Linked DNA regions of Arabidopsis thaliana. The protein of the gene in region 2 interacts with the protein of the main gene of each other region in a pairwise test. Each region holds a gene or a part of one and is shown on either strand. Other genes may lie near its edges. The genes, in order: UMAMIT27, AT5G51160, ARGOS and AT5G11680.

What was found.
Region 1: the proteins of AT5G51160 (region 2) and UMAMIT27 interact in a protein complementation assay, tested with the Arabidopsis thaliana proteins (one large-scale study listed by BioGRID).
Region 3: the proteins of AT5G51160 (region 2) and ARGOS interact in a protein complementation assay, tested with the Arabidopsis thaliana proteins (one large-scale study listed by BioGRID).
Region 4: the proteins of AT5G51160 (region 2) and AT5G11680 interact in a protein complementation assay, tested with the Arabidopsis thaliana proteins (one large-scale study listed by BioGRID).

What each region holds. Positions count from the first base shown.
Region 1 is NC_003070.9:3,851,657-3,856,054, forward strand, and holds UMAMIT27 (nodulin MtN21 /EamA-like transporter family protein), read left to right. Parts: upstream 1-1,527; 5' UTR 1,528-1,660; coding exon 1,661-1,863; intron 1,864-2,101; coding exon 2,102-2,164; exon of another isoform or gene 2,165-2,338; coding exon 2,339-2,455; intron 2,456-2,685; coding exon 2,686-3,085; intron 3,086-3,213; coding exon 3,214-3,365; coding exon of another isoform or gene 3,366-3,390; exon of another isoform or gene 3,391-3,479; coding exon 3,480-3,603; 3' UTR 3,604-3,851; downstream 3,852-4,398.
Region 2 is NC_003076.8:20,790,372-20,794,386, reverse strand, and holds AT5G51160 (Ankyrin repeat family protein), read right to left. Parts: upstream 2,315-4,015; 5' UTR 2,108-2,314; coding exon 1,604-2,107; intron 1,531-1,603; coding exon 706-1,530; 3' UTR 546-705; downstream 1-545. Other genes in the region: AT5G51170 (U6 snRNA phosphodiesterase-like protein), read left to right, coding at 1-7, 105-170, 284-481; AT5G51150 (Mitochondrial import inner membrane translocase subunit Tim17/Tim22/Tim23 family protein), read right to left, coding at 2,892-3,158, 3,250-3,456, 3,561-3,653, 3,764-4,015.
Region 3 is NC_003074.8:22,127,752-22,130,973, forward strand, and holds ARGOS (auxin-regulated gene involved in organ size), read left to right. Parts: upstream 1-1,753; 5' UTR 1,754-2,289; coding exon 2,290-2,682; 3' UTR 2,683-2,721; downstream 2,722-3,222. Other genes in the region: AT3G59910 (Ankyrin repeat family protein), read right to left, coding at 3,028-3,222. UniProt on the Arabidopsis thaliana protein: Promotes cell proliferation-dependent organ growth. Takes part in the AXR1-dependent auxin signaling pathway that requires ANT during organogenesis.
Region 4 is NC_003076.8:3,756,968-3,761,451, forward strand, and holds AT5G11680 (classical AGP protein), read left to right. Parts: upstream 1-1,841; 5' UTR 1,842-2,018; intron 2,019-2,425; 5' UTR 2,426-2,495; coding exon 2,496-2,605; intron 2,606-2,839; coding exon 2,840-2,951; intron 2,952-3,077; coding exon 3,078-3,149; intron 3,150-3,240; coding exon 3,241-3,467; intron 3,468-3,564; coding exon 3,565-3,667; 3' UTR 3,668-3,946; downstream 3,947-4,484. Other genes in the region: NADP-ME2 (NADP-malic enzyme 2), read left to right, coding at 33-122, 210-287, 413-487, 583-673, 767-895, 985-1,073.

The DNA.
Region 1 (4,398 bases), on a different chromosome or scaffold from region 2:
TATATAAAATAAACAAAATATTTTTTTTATTATTTCTTAATTTATGTGAAAAACTTTAGATATGATTTAATATGAAAAGATAGAATATATTATATACCAATCTTGTAAATTTATTCTAGAACTAAGTCAAAACCACTAACTTTTCTTTTGTGACAACTTTTTTATAAAAAAAATTTAACATCATTAGAACCACTAACTCAATTGTTATTATATTTGGTGAATTGATCTAATTAGTAGAAGGAATATATATGTCTGCACTACTGGAGAGAAAATGCCCCGTCCATTATGTTCTAAGCCTTTTCTAGATAACTTACTGAATCTAAAAATAGCATCTGCTTTTTGTCCCTACAAAGTTATATGGACAAACTAAAGGAATGAAAGAGTTCGATATACCCAAATGGGGATAATATAATTTTTTCATCAACTTTAAAAGTTCAAATATAGAGCTAATTATACGCATTTATAATTAACAAAAACGAGATAGTGCAAAACAAGATGGATCCAATGAAAAGACAAAAGAGAATAATTAATGGATCGAATATAATTCAAAATGGGCACAAAACAAATTTGCACGCAAAAAGTTATTGAATGAGAGTTGCAAAATCTCATATAGTACTTATTTACTACATATGATTAGTTTATCTCGTTGAAAAGTTCGTGTTTTTTCCTATTTTGCACCAAATTCAACAAATCCTTGAGTCAGTCCAATTACAATTGAAAGTAAAGAACCCAAACTTGAACCTATACGACCAGACGGAGACGGGCATGCAAGTGTTTAAGTGTCATTAGATTACAAATGTTTAAGTGTCATTAGATTACACGAAGTATAGATTTAGATATACCAACTAGCTCGGGTTTGCATGACTTATTTTTTCTCACTAAACTCAGTTACATCATCTCTCCGACTCTCTTTTATGAAAATCATTTTGCTAATTAATAAGGTGCGCGGCAGATAACACGCATGATAAAGCCAATGTATCGGTTTCTCATTTACTCATATAACGTATAAAATGGAAAAGCTAATTCATCGGCGCCTCATGAAACGTGTGATAAAGCCAATGTATCGGTTCTCATTTCTACTATATAATAAATAAATAAATATAACAGTAAATATACACATATTGACCGGAAAAAAAAAAGATTGTTACCGCATGAGCAGTTATATTTGTGACGACTTCTTAAACTTAAGTATCCTACTAATTTTGTTCTTTCATTAGTTAATAATATGCTCGGGTTTGTAGTAGTGCTTTGTTCTTCACAAACGCTTATCCTATATAAAAAGAAAGTTTTTTTAGACCAGAAAAGTAAATAAAATTAAGCTAGTTGTGTGTAGGAACATTCAACTTGTTCAAATATTTGAACTATTTTGTAATTTATAATTTTACATAATGTGGAACAAGATTCTAATATTATTTAAATTGAACTTGACAGCACTAAGTTTTTTATTTATTTATTTTTGATAGAAAGACCACTAAGTTAATATAATAGAGCAATAATTCAGGGGTTTTTTCTATTAAAATGACAGAACCCAAACACAGTACTCTTTCTTATAAGTTATAAATATGGGAAGGGTGGTTGCCAAACTCAAAGTACTTTGGGTCTTAACTCTTTCTAACACACAAACTCACATAGAATTCAAGAAAGAGAGAACGAGGGAGAGATGGGTGAGGATATGCGAGGAGTGAAAGTAGTCTCAAAATGGCCACCGATGATAGTTATGGTGACATCACAAGTAGCGATGGGTTCGGTGAATGCACTTGTGAAGAAAGCTCTTGATGTTGGTGTGAACCATATGATCATTGGTGCTTATCGAATGGCTATTTCCTCTTTCATTCTGGTTCCTATCGCCTATTTTTTGGAAAGGTTTATTGATATTTTGATGAAAATAGTTGAGTTATATATTTTTCTTATGCAAAATTTTCAAAAATTTGATTATATCAAAATAGTTTTTTCATATTTACATAATTAACAACATTTACTACAATTGAAGATTGTCAGAATGCTCTATTATAACATGTAAATAAACACCACTACATGTTACTAATATATGAAGTAGATTGATATTTTCTTTCCCCTAAAGTTTATGTCTTATTGTTAACAGGAAAATAATACCGAAAATAACGTTTAGGCTAATGGTCGATCATTTCATCAGTGGTTTGCTCGGGTTTGTCTTCTCACAATTTCTTATGTTCTTTTGTCGTCCATTTTCCATTTTCCTTTTCCATTATACATTGATTGTTTCCACAGAAGAAAGATTTTCTTTCAAGTGAGCATAAAATCTTCATAAGCTAGCTAAATTGTTTTTAATCTTAGCTTAGTTTTGGGTTTAAATTTGCAGGGCGAGTTTGATGCAATTTTTCTATTTGCTTGGTCTGTCCTACACGTCAGCAACTGTTGCGTGTGCTTTGGTAAGCTTGATGCCTGCAATCACCTTTGCTTTCGCTCTTATTTTGAGGTAATTATGGAACCATCTAACTTCTTTATCATTAAAATAAGTACTGTATTTACTATTACTATGCAATGGGTTCATGCAGGATTTATTCGTATTTGTTATGTATACAGTGCATATAATTTCTTTTGTTTTTTCATCAAGCATATTATACTTCTATATATAGAAATACTCAAAAGAACCTTACTCATAAATTATCTCAAATTTATCATCTAAAAGGTTATATTACTTTTCAGAACTGAGAAGATAAAAGATCTAAAGACCCAAGCAGGAATGATAAAAGTGATGGGAACTCTAATATGTATAAGTGGAGCTTTGTTCTTAACATTTTACAAAGGCCCTCATATATCAAACTCTCACTCTCACCTAGAGGCTCTTCCTCACAACAACAGCGATCACAACACCAAGAATTGGCTTCTTGGATGTCTCTACTTAGTCATAGGAATCGTGTTGCTATCTCTATGGATATTGTTTCAAGGGACTTTAAGCATCAAGTATCCTTGCAAATTCTCAAGCACTTGTCTCATGTCAATTTTCGCAGCTTTTCAATGTGCTCTATTGAGTCTTTACAAGAGTAGAGACCTTAAACATTGGATCATCGACGATGGATTTGTGATTGGTGTCATAATATATGCTGTAAGTTATAATACTATATTATCAGAAATCTTAACATTTTTATAAATTATAATGTAGTATATATGTAAATAATTAAATAAATTTTGGGGTTTACCTAATATTACCTTATTACTATACACGTATTATAGGGAGTGATAGGACAAGCAATGTCGACTGTAGCAGCGACATGGGGAATAAACAGATTAGGAGCTGTTTTCGCATCAGCAATTATGCCAGTTTCTCTCATATCGGCTACTCTATTCGATTTCCTTATCTTACACACTCCTTTATACCTCGGAAGGTGCTCTCTTCGATCATCTCTATGAAATTTTTTGTATAGCTTTATAGATGTTAATGTATTAGGTTCATGCTCGTATTACTAATTACAATTTATTTTGTAACTTTTGCTATACAGTGTGATTGGATCAGTAGGGACAATAATAGGTCTCTACGTGTTCTTGTGGGGTAAGAACAAAGAAACGGAAGCAGACATAACTACATTGTCTTCTCGGATGAACAACGAAGATCAACGAGTCTAGGTCGCCCATTTAATCAAATAATATTGTTGTCATAGAAAGATTCATATGGCTTCATTGTCGTAAATTAGTATTTACTACTGAATACATTTACCGTAAAGACCAGTCATAAATATTTAGATTTAAATTGTGCAAGCACACTCACGTTAAAGACCAGTCATAAATATTCAGATTCAAATTGTGCAAGCAGTTTGTATAATTCATACTTTTCGTTTGCAGATTTATAATTTCGTAAAGAGATAACAAAACAGATTTGTTATAATATTCAAAACTAACCAATATAAAGCATATATGATATATCAAAACATTTCACAACAGATCTGTTAAAAGAGCCTCGTAATATTGTTTTTAGTTTCAAAAGCTCTGTTTCTTGGATTATTTTCGTGCTGATTTTAAATGTGTTGCGTTTTGAGTTTGTAGCCTGTTGCTAAAACAGTAAGAATTTAAGGTCTAGAAAAAATAAAGACCAATTGTAATTAGTACTACTGTATATATATTATGCACTACTGGAGTGAAAATGCCCCGTCCATTTTTTCTAAGCCTTACCTTAATCTAGAATAGCATCTGCTTTTTGTCCCTACAAAGTTCGACGGACAAAATAAAGGAAGGCAAAATTTCGATACCCATATTGGGGAGAAACAACTATATACTAATACAGTATAATTTTTTTCATTAACTTCTATATTGAAATGTATAACAATTATTATGTGCATTATAAATAACAAAAACGAGGTACTGCATGGATCCAGTGAAAGGACAGAGCGTAAAAGGGATCGAATCCAAATTGGGAACAATAAA
Region 2 (4,015 bases):
ATCCGAGGTATGTTGTACAACAAGAGTTAACCTTGAATGTTGGATTTTTGCATACTCAGTACCTTGTGTTAGATATTGTACTGATTATCATATCCTTAATTCAGATAAGTAAGCAAATTGATGCTGTTAATGAAGTTTACAAGCTCCACAATCTGCCGGAGTTCTACAAGGTCCACTTGCTTTTCTATATAGTACTTTACAGCTTGATTGTATTTTACTGTTTAGCCAATGAAAATCGTCATGGACACTTATCCCATCGAGTCTGCTTCAATTTTTCTTTTAGGATCCGCGGCCGCATATATCCTTGGTCTGGGCGTTGGGTGATATTAGAACTTCCCTAAAGGGAGCTGTTGACGTGGAACTTAGGAAGCTTAGAGCAGGTGGTTGTGTGCAGAATCGTATCTTCACCTCTAAGTTTTGTGGGATCGAGTGTAAGATAGGAAACAAAACACACAAAATATGTAAACTCCCAGATGAATAAGAAAATCTCAAATTTCTGTGTTTGCAGACCAATCAGGTATGCATTTGTAACGACATAGAAGGATGAGTTGATCTGTGTTCTTGGGTATTCCATAATATATGTCTCTTCATAGAAAAAAGTCTCCATATATCATAATATCACTCGTAATAACATTGGTGATTTCTGGACAATGCAACAACAAGTCCTTGTGATTTGAAATAAGGTAGATATTGAACTGGCTACTATTATGTTACAAAACGTTTACATGAAAGTGAAATCATGGAGCAAATTTTTTGTGACCTGGAGTCCAAGAAGTGAGCGAGCATACCAATAGGGTTCTCGAGCAACCTCATCAAACCCGGGGTGGTAGCAGCGAGGATGGATGTGATGAGAATGCAGTAAAGCTTGACATGATCAGGTGCAATGCTGGCCATGGTTGTGTTGTGCGAGAAATACATAGCAATCATACAGATCTGAAGCTGGAACCGCAATGGGAACCCGAGGGTGAGAATGTTGAGCATAGACAGTGAAACCGAAAACCCAATTGTGTTGAAGAACACAAACAAAGTGAAAGCAACTCCATTGAAGGTCCCCATGATAGATTGCCCTGCTGTATGAGCTTGTTGATTTGTAGTATTCACATTCGTTGTGTTCTGGGATACAGCAGGTATTGAGCTATCTTGCCAGGTTCCACCTGGTGGGGTCAAGCTGGCCTGAAACGTGGCTGTGGCGACTAGTGAAGCCACCACTAGTAATGCGCTACGTGCTTCTGATGGTGAGTCTCTGTGCTTTTTGAAAGTGAAGTACTTGACAAGTTCTTTATGGCTTTGGGACTTCATTGTTCTCTCTTGGCATGTGGAAGTAGAAGTGGTTCTCTCGACATTAGTAGTGCCAATGTCTCGCCCTCTCTGAGCTCCAGCTTCGATGAGTTTCTCATAGATTTCTCTATCGCCAGCTTCGCTCGGAAACATAACCAGCAAATCCATCGCTGATAGACCCATCTTGTTCATAGCATTCACCTCAAATGACCTTGATTCTTCTGGTATTGCCTGAACCAACACTTCAATCACCTGTAGGCAAAAGAAAAACAGAGTTTGATTCCACTGGAAGAAAACTATTTAACCGCAACTTAATTCGTCGTACCTGGCGATTTTTTCTCCAGGTTGCAAGATGAAGAGCAGTGTTACCCTGTTCATCTTTCTTATTCAACACATCAAATCGATTTGTCTCTGTGATCAACTCAACAATGGCTATGACTGCTTCGATCTCTAGGTGCAGAACAGCAAGATGCAAAGCAGTTTGACCTTGTACGGTCTCGTCTTCTAAACAATCAACACAGCTCGCTACAATCTCTCTGATCACATCGATTTTCCCTCTCATCGTTGCCACATGTAGAGGAGTCTTTCCATCTCTATCTTTTAAGCGGCAAAGCTTCTTTTCAACCCCCAAAGTTGCCCTCACAGTCTCTACTTGTCCGGCTGCCGCAGCTGCATGAAGAGGGCTAAACCCGTTTTTGTCCAAGTCAAAGACTGACCGCTGCCTGAGAATCTTTCCGGCGACGACATACTCTTCACTCCTTGGGTTGAAGGAGTTATAGAGAGGATCAGAGACGATCTCCTTCGGTAAATGAGTCTCAAAAGCATCCATTTTGGTGATGATGCAGAAGAAAGAGAGAGAGAAGATCGAGTTGAATATACAATGAAGGTGTGTACCATCACGACGCTTGTTTGAAATTTTCTATTACAAAACTCCCTTTGACATTTGACTTTGTAGCATATGAAGTATTCCTTAAAGTGGAACAAATGCTTACAAGTGTCAGTTGTTTGCATTACTTTATCTTTTGATTTTCTGACCCTGAGATCATCGTATGTGCAAATTCATATCCGCTCCGACCAATACAGATGAAATTTCAACAATTTGAGTAATACAATAGTTTTTGGGTATGAGAGTCAAATCTTAGACGAATTGACTTTTTTTCCATCGGTTGAGAGAACTTGCATTAGGAAACTAAACAAAACTGTGTTTTTCTTGAAGTGAGTTTTTAAGCAATAGATCAAGATTATAACAAGACAAAAAGGAATATATCTAGTGATCTGTTTCAAGTTTCAACACTGTGTTGGTGTTAACAAATCAAGACAGCTTGACTCGCTTGCCATAAATCTTCTTCATTCTGCTACTTCTCATTGAAATAAAGAAGAGACAGTGGAGTTGTTGTTATTACGTGAAAGAAAATAAAAAACAGGCTCCTAAATCCTATGAATCACTTCAATCTCTTAAGTTTTCTGTGTGGAGGAACCCTTTCTTTCTGGAAAGTTTCACATTAACTTCCTGAAACACAATCAAAATCATGATTCCGTAAAGGGTCCTTTTTGGTTTGCTCAATTTCAACGTCAGGTGCTAATATAGTATCAGACAGCTTCTGCTTATACTTCTAAAGACCGGGAATTGCTTCCAAGTTATACTTTTCTTCGGCTTTCGGAGTTTCGCCTTCTCGGCTCTCCTGCGTTTTCGGTTTCTTCAATGCATCTAGGGTCTGGAGATAAGAATAGGACGAACTATGAGGGTATTTGCTGCTAGGATTGCTTATTTGGCTAGCAAGAAACCGACGGATGAGTCCCCTCAGAAACGGAGCCATTGTATCAGGTTCATATTCGAGGTAGTACATTATTCCTCCCATGCATCCACAGAATAAAGCCACCTGTTTCCATTAATTGTATAAAACATCAGTTCCATTGCTCAAAGGGGAAGAAAGTTGGAAATAACAAAAGTGGTTTGTAATTGTATTGTACCTCAGCATTTTTAATGTCGGGAAGAAGGTGGCGATTAACAAGTATCTCCCACAGAGAATCTCCTGCTCGGGGAAGAACATATAGAGCAAGCTCAGAGCGTCTCGGTTTCTTCTCCAGCATAACTGAGAGGGCTGCTGCACCACCCGCAAACCAATAAACGAGCTTGTGGTCTTTGGTTGCAACTTTTCTATGGGCACATATGAAAGCCTAATGCAAATGGGATGAAGGCACATACATTTGGGAATGGTTTTAGGAAACTATGTGAATTGTATGAAATGAGGGGACACAAATCAAATGTAAAAACCAGCTACCTGAAAAATCCCAACAAAAGCAGACAAGAAGGACGTCGATCTAACTGAATCTCTGATTGCAAGCCAAGATGTCCGGTAAGGAGAAGCCATGAACTGAAATGAAAGTGTAGGATGGCATCAGAAACTACATATCATGTCTGACTAATGCATAAACCATAGGAATCTAAAAGACTGAAACGGCAAATATTGAGGGACAGTCTTACTTTTTGTAGGTGTAGAACAACATATGGGACAAAAGTCAGGGAGAAATATAATGGAAATGTTTTCTTGAATGTAGCTGACATTGCATTAGCATTTTGGGCCAGACACGAGTTAGTGTTTGGATGAATAGCTGCACAGGGAATGATGGAAGCAAACTCTTCCACCTTCACGTCGCTTGCTTCGTTTTTACTAGAAATATAGGCTGACAAGGAGGCTACATCAATTGGACCACCTCTGCAGCACTCTCTTACAGC
Region 3 (3,222 bases), on a different chromosome or scaffold from region 2:
TCAAGTGTCTAAGAATTAGACCAAAACATATGTCTATGCATATTGACTGTCGAAAATCAATTAAATTAGAAGTAGGGTATATAAAACAAGAAGAAGCAATATTTAAACATGACTGACTTATTAGTAAGACAGAGGGAATAATATTATGATAATACTTTTTTTTCTTGAACTTTTTGATACAGGTCCACTGGACACCAATCTAAATGTGTGCGGTGTTCAAGGCAATAATCATGCATGGGTTGCCATATATACACACCTACATCTTAACTTTCCACCATTATTTACTCATCTAGTCTTCAATAAACAAATTCCATTACTAATTAAAAACGTACAAATAGAGATGTTTAATCGTAATACTGTATATCTATCCAAGAACAAACACACAAGTGAACTGAATTTTAAACTGATTAATTCTTTTGTTTCCAAAGAACTTAAAAGGAAGTACTTTTATTTAAATAAAAAATAAATCTTAAACCGCACCAAATAAGTTTTGGTTACTAGTGTATACATTCAGTGAACATTTTTATGAACCCATATTTTAGTAAAAGTATTCTCTTGATTGTAGAGACAAACACTAAACACAAATAAATTGATTTTTTTAGTTGAGCTTATGCTGAGAAGATCCATTTGACAATTTTCTTTCCTTTTTTTGGTCAACGATTCAAGGAGATCCATTTTCTCATCCCTAAATATACGATTTTCGTATCTGTAGAGTAGGAGTAGAAACTAGCGGATCTTTCGATATAAACATTCTAAATTATTAATTTAGGGTTTGTCATCCATGCAAAAAACTTTGTTGGTACACGTCAAATAGTTTAATATCTGAAGCTGCAGTCTTCGTATATTGTTAATTTGGCCTAATTAAAGTAATGCTGCACAATTAATGTGGATAACTAGTGTTGTAGTATTGGTAATCTATCAATTCTCCCAAACTACTCATCGGCTTTTTTGTATCTAAAGGCCAGGAAAAAAACTAATAAAACCACTTGACGTTGTTTCTAAAGGAAATGGCCTATATGTTTCTCAATTCATTGAACCATGAATTATATTTATGGGATTAACTATATTTATATATTAAAAGTAACAAGTGATTTCCGACTGAGTTACTAGCGAAGTCTATTTGCTTTAATTCATCATTCTGTGAGAATTCATCCTCTGGCGATATAAACATCTTGGCTTTATTAAAAACCATCCTCTCATCAAGACTTCACATGCAAAGCGTGTTGTCACGTTACTATGTCCGATCTCCATATACACGTAAATATATAAAAATAGCATCGTGAATTAATTTGAAAAACATTCCTAGCTATTTAACTTGGCTTTATATATAGAAATATGAGAGCATATACATATATTGGCCCAACATTTCCTGGTAGAACAAGCGCATTCACCATATGAAGTGCTTCGAGAAGAACAACACTATGGGTCCTTATTTATCCATAAACATCGACAAAATTATTGGTAGGTACGTTAATAAAAATAATTTCCTCATCGCATCAAATATTTGATTATAAAATTTTAAAAATCAACCTGTATATTAATAACTGGATGATTCAAAATAAACTAGAAAATTATTTTCTTAAAAATTTATAGAATGGTAAAAAGATGGTTTTAAAACTCATTTATTTAAATACTACTTACATATTCAGATCAGAGGAGATTGTAGCTTACGTCATATGTTATATAAGTAAAAGAAATGGTAGAAAAAGTAAGAGAAAAGAAGACCAGGGGAGAAGAACCTTGTGATTGTGGAGGAAGACTAGGCCACACGAAATTCAAATCTTTCAAATTCAGCAACTTGCTTCTCCTCACATTTGTCAGCCCCTTTATATAATAAACGTTCCTCTTTTTCGTCTTTTCAACATATCAGAAAATCCCTAAATTCACTGAACCCTCTTCTCTCTCTTTCTCCCCCCATATCTTCTGATTCTCCTCCAACTCCTTTATTAATAAATTCTCCTCTTTCATTGCTACTTGTCTTCCTCATTTCCCTACTAGTACTTGTTTCACACAGTTTCTTGATCCAACCAAAACCAATACACAAAGCTTCTCAAACTCCTTCACCTCAAAGCTTCTTCCTTTACATCTGAATCGTTGAGTTAACTCGGATTTGTTCTGCATCCTCTGTTTCTGAATCGTGGGCCATCCTTATTTTGTCTCGAATTCTTCACCAATTGCTTCGATCAAGCTGCATTGGTTAACCAGTTGCCCTAAAGATCAGATCTTTGAGCAAAATTTTGTCACTGATCTTCTAAATCCAAACCAGACACAGCAAAACAACCTCTGTAGATGATTCGAGAAATCTCAAACTTACAAAAAGATATTATAAACATTCAAGACAGTTATTCGAACAACCGAGTCATGGACGTCGGAAGAAACAACCGGAAAAACATGAGCTTTCGAAGTTCGCCGGAGAAAAGCAAGCAAGAGTTACGGCGGAGTTTCTCGGCGCAGAAAAGGATGATGATCCCGGCGAATTATTTCAGTTTAGAGTCTCTGTTCCTATTGGTTGGTCTAACGGCATCTCTGTTAATACTTCCGTTAGTTTTGCCGCCGTTACCTCCGCCTCCGTTTATGCTGCTATTGGTTCCCATTGGGATTATGGTTTTACTCGTCGTTCTTGCCTTCATGCCTTCTTCTCATTCTAATGCTAATACAGATGTAACTTGCAATTTCATGTAAATCTGAAATTTATTATATGATGATCTTAATTAATCTTAGGGTTCTTAATCCAATGAAATTGATATACAATATAAATGTAAGTTATAAATATTACATTAAATTATCATAATATATATATGTGAGAATACTTCAACGCACAATAAGAGAAATGGAGGAGAAGAGACTGACATAATATAGAAGCATCATAAGAAGAAATTATACAAAAAAAAAAAAAAAACCTCACTTCGTCATCTCAAACCCAAATCCCAATATCCGTTAATTTAAATCGTAGTATTTATTTGCTTATTTTCAACTATTCGTAGAAATTAGAAAACCAGTGAAGCCCAAAAGCAGAATCCATTTGTTTCAATCGAAAATGGCGGTAAGGTGATGCTCCAAAACCGCCATAAGGTTACGAGTCTGGCTTACTTCCACAACTGCAACAGCACAGCCTTGAAGCTGTCTCACTGCTTCTACAAGCTGTCCTCTTAGCCTCTGAGACAGTAACCGACCGTCCGCTTTCATGCACTCTCTGTACAGCGGCATGTACGCTATTGCTAC
Region 4 (4,484 bases), about 17 Mb from region 2:
TGTTCACTGTTTGTTGAAACTTTTTCAAACAGGCAATCAAGCCAACCGTTCTCATTGGAACATCCGGTGTGGGTCAGACTTTCACAAAAGAAGTTGTCGAGGCCATGGCTACCAACAACGAGGTTTCTTCTTGTTCTTACTCTCTGCTTTTTCAGAAAACAAGGTATTTATGCTATTTTTCTAATGCTGGTCTTGGTGTTGGCTTATAGAAACCGTTGATTCTTGCTCTCTCAAACCCTACTTCTCAAGCTGAGTGTACTGCTGAACAGGCTTACACATGGACCAAGGTATAATATTGTCTCATATGACATCTAAATGTGATTCATGTCCTCACTCCTGATTATACAACAAAATTATAATTTGGTTTTCATGCTGCTCCTCGAATCTAATCATATATTGTGCTTAAAAAAAGGGTCGTGCAATCTTTGGAAGTGGAAGCCCATTTGATCCTGTTGTGTACGATGGCAAAACCTACTTGCCTGGCCAGGTTCGTGCTATTTCAACAACTTCTTCTCTCTCAACTTTGTACATCTGACAATCTTAGAGCTCACATCATATTTCCACTATCCTACTTAACTTCAGGCAAACAATTGCTACATTTTCCCTGGTCTGGGTCTTGGTTTGATCATGTCTGGGGCAATTCGTGTCCGTGATGACATGCTCCTCGCAGCTTGTAAGTAAAAATAAACTTCAGAAAATCAAACATGGATACTGATAAAGACACTTAAAGATTCTCAATGTCATCTCTCTCTCATGTTTTCAACAGCTGAAGCATTGGCCGCACAAGTGACAGAAGAGCATTACGCCAATGGTCTGATCTACCCGCCATTCTCAAACATCAGAGAGATCTCTGCTAACATTGCAGCCTGTGTCGCCGCCAAAACCTATGACCTCGGTTAGTTGAATGAAACTGTCTTAACTCTTTTAATGAGACTGTCTGAACTCTCTAATCTCAAGTTCTAAAATCGATGTATTGTGGTGTAGGATTGGCGTCGAACCTGCCACGTGCAAAGGATCTTGTCAAGTTTGCAGAGAGCAGCATGTACAGCCCTGTGTACAGAAACTACCGTTAAAAAAGTTTTGTTGAAGAAACCTGCAGATTATACTATTCACAACCCTTGATAGTTTCTTAAGGCTTGTATTTAAGTTTTTTGTTTGTTTGTTTGTTGTTTGTTTTCTCTTCTACATTATGATGCTGTTTGTGAACTCTCTCTCTGTCTTTGCTGATAAATAATAAATTGTTACTAATATAATCTACAAATCATTATTGTCTCAAAGTTACACTTTCCATCCCACATCACAAAATCGATCAACTTGTCTTGGAAGGGAATAATATGCTTTTTTCTGCCACTTGTTGTATCTTATTGGTTGTTTTATTAAAATGGTATAATTGTTGCAGAATTAAAGAACTTGTATCATTATTTTGAAGAGTTTATCAAAAGTTTCATATAGATAATAGGACTATAGAAGCATAGCTGAATACTCTTTTGAAAGTGGTTTCTAAATTGTACTGAGCAAAATGTTCTAAAAACAACAAAACTCCTAATCTTAAGCTAATGATTTTGGCATTTTAGGTAACTACTTGTTATAAATAGCTAAAACAATAACAAGAATCTCTAAAACTCGTCTTCACGTTTTGGTTAAAATCGAAAGCTCAAACAATCCAAACCAAAACTAAACCGAAACAAGATGTCAAAAAAATAAATAAACACCTAAACCGAAACCAAAGTTAAAACAACTGAAAATGGGCTGAACGGTCCCTTTAATCTGAGATGTAATAAGGCCCAAATAGTAACTGTAGATGGGGACAATTGTAACGAAATCAAATTGCGGGCGAAAATCGAACTAAAGAAATAAGTAGAGGGACGAATAAAATGGTTAGAAGGTTTTAAGAATAAACCGCGTCGCGTCTCTTTTCTGGAAAAAACGAGAAACTGTGATCTTGGCCCTTTTATTACCCCTATCCTCTTCTTCTTCAATCTCTCCGATCAAAATCCTTTTAAGCTCTGTAGACCCAGGTATGTTCCTTCAGCTTTTCTATTCGCGAGAAAATTACGAGTAAAGGATTGCTTGAAATTGAACTTGGATCGTTCTGTTACTGCTTTCTTATTGCTATCAGATTTTGATTCTCTAAGGAATTAGATATTTTCTTTGTTGATTGATTTGTTTTGAACACGTATTATTAATCCTAGTCTTTGTTTCTACATTATAGGAACGTTTCGATTTGAATTAGCTAAAAACCTCAATTTTATTTGCTCTTTTGCATATCTGAAATTGGAAGCTGATGATATGTGGATGTTAATTGGCTCTAGTTACTTGGATCTGTGAATAATTATTTGCTAATTTGGAGCATGTTCCTTTGAATTATCTTCTGATTGTCTAAGTATATTTGGAAATGTGTTTATATTCTCATTTGTGTGATCAGGTTACGCAGAGAAGAAGAACAGAACAAGGAATTATATAATCATTGGCTTGATCAATCTGAATTGCAGTTCATGGCGCTAAACCCTCAATTACTACCCAATGGGATGCCTGTTCCCTTTGTTAATGAAATGTTCGTCCTAGTCCGAGATGGTGTTGAGTTTGAAGTCGACAAGATCCCTGGGTTCGTGTTCCCTTCTCTCGTCACGCATGTTTTGGATCTCCTTAAGTGGTTTATTGATTTGATGATTATTGTTGGTCTCCATTTTAGTACCGTTTTGAGTCGGTTTAGATCCACTCATCTAGCATATGAACCATTAAGTTTACTTGTAAATAAGATAAGTCTCAGAAGTGAACAGACATATGAGCTCTGGGCTTTAAACACTTCCCTGATGTTCTTTCTTGTTGTATGATCCAGAGGGCATGGAGGTCATGTTAAGGCCAAGGGGGTGATTTACTTGTCTAATATACGGATGGTCTTTGTTTCAAGCAAGCCTGTTGACAACTTTGTTGCTTTTGACATGCCCCTGGTACAGTAACTTTATCTTATTTTTGTCTCTGATTTAGTTAATACATGGCACAAGTGTAGCTCTGTTAAATTTGGTTATGGAACTACATGCTACATATTAGCTTATGGATTATATGTTACTCTGTAGCTTTACATCCATGCCGAGAAATTTAATCAGCCAATATTTCACTGCAACAATATTGCTGGACAAGTGGAGCCTGTAAGTACAAACTTTCATGGAGAATTTATAGTTTCTTTCCTTGTAAGGAAACTATACATATTTACTTATTGGCATGTAACAAAATTTCCAGGTGGTGCCAGAAAATGAGCATAGAGCTCTATATTCAACACACAGTTTCAAGATCCTATTTAAGGAAGGTGGTTGTGGGACATTTGTTCCTCTCTTCTTGAATCTCATATCATCAGTGAGACAATACAACAGACAAATGCAACAAGCAGCAGAAGCAGCAGCGGCAGCTCCTCATGTTGATCCTCTTCAAGCCGCTCAGACACCTGTGGACGAAATGATGAGACATGCGTAAGTCCCATCAGAAATCAATCGGAAAGTTTTTTGATAGTAGTAAAAGCTGTTGTTCCTCATAAAATCTTGTGTGGTCGTCATTGTGTATGTGCAGGTACGTGGACCCTAATGATCCAACGAGGATATATCTGCAACAGCCATCAGGGGAATCTCAGTTGAGGCGTAGAGCTTACCATTCGGGTGCGGCGGAACATTGAGATACACGGAAAAAAAAAATACAAAGGCTATGAATACAGAAACAGCAACAGATTAGTGTTGCTAATAAGCAAAACGTGTTGTTTGTTTGTTTAAAGTTGAAAACTAAAAGTCTAAAACCATCTGTGTAAAGAAAGATGAGACTTGTTTGGTGTGTGGATGTATCTGGTAAAATTGGAGTCGTAATAATCATAAGTTTGGTTCATATATTGAACAAAATGTGGGTCGAAAACCCTGCCGGTTCGCCTGAACCATGAAAAGTCGGATTTGGCTGATCCGCACGCTCAATTTTCTTCAGCTAAATCGCGAATACTTGAGCTTGTAGTAAGTCGTGGCCACTAGTGGGACACACAAAACCACAAAACATATATTTTGCAAGCTAAAACCCAATGGACTAAGATTTGAGGTTCAGGGTTGGACCATAAAATTTGGAATGGATAATCGGATACTTTAGGTTGGGTTGGTAGTTTTCAATATTGAAATTGGGTTTTTGGACCTTTCCTTAGTTTTTGATTTAAAACAAAATTGTAAAAGAAAATGAAAATACGAAGGTGGCATTCTAGCTTTATTTTCCAGAGAAAGTGGCTTTCCAGCCATTTATTAAAAAAAACAAAGACCAGGGTGTTTTTTTTCTGACAAAACAAATTGTAACACTCACTAGGCATAGCATTCTAGTTAGTTCTGCAGAAATTTATAGCGACACTGGTCCAAATTAGGAGGAGCGAGAGCGAAGGTACGAGTGAGGATTTACAATTGTCGATCGTTTTCACCTAGAAACCCTAATTTCGGGGGCTCGCACGCCCTCTCTGATTAGAAGCG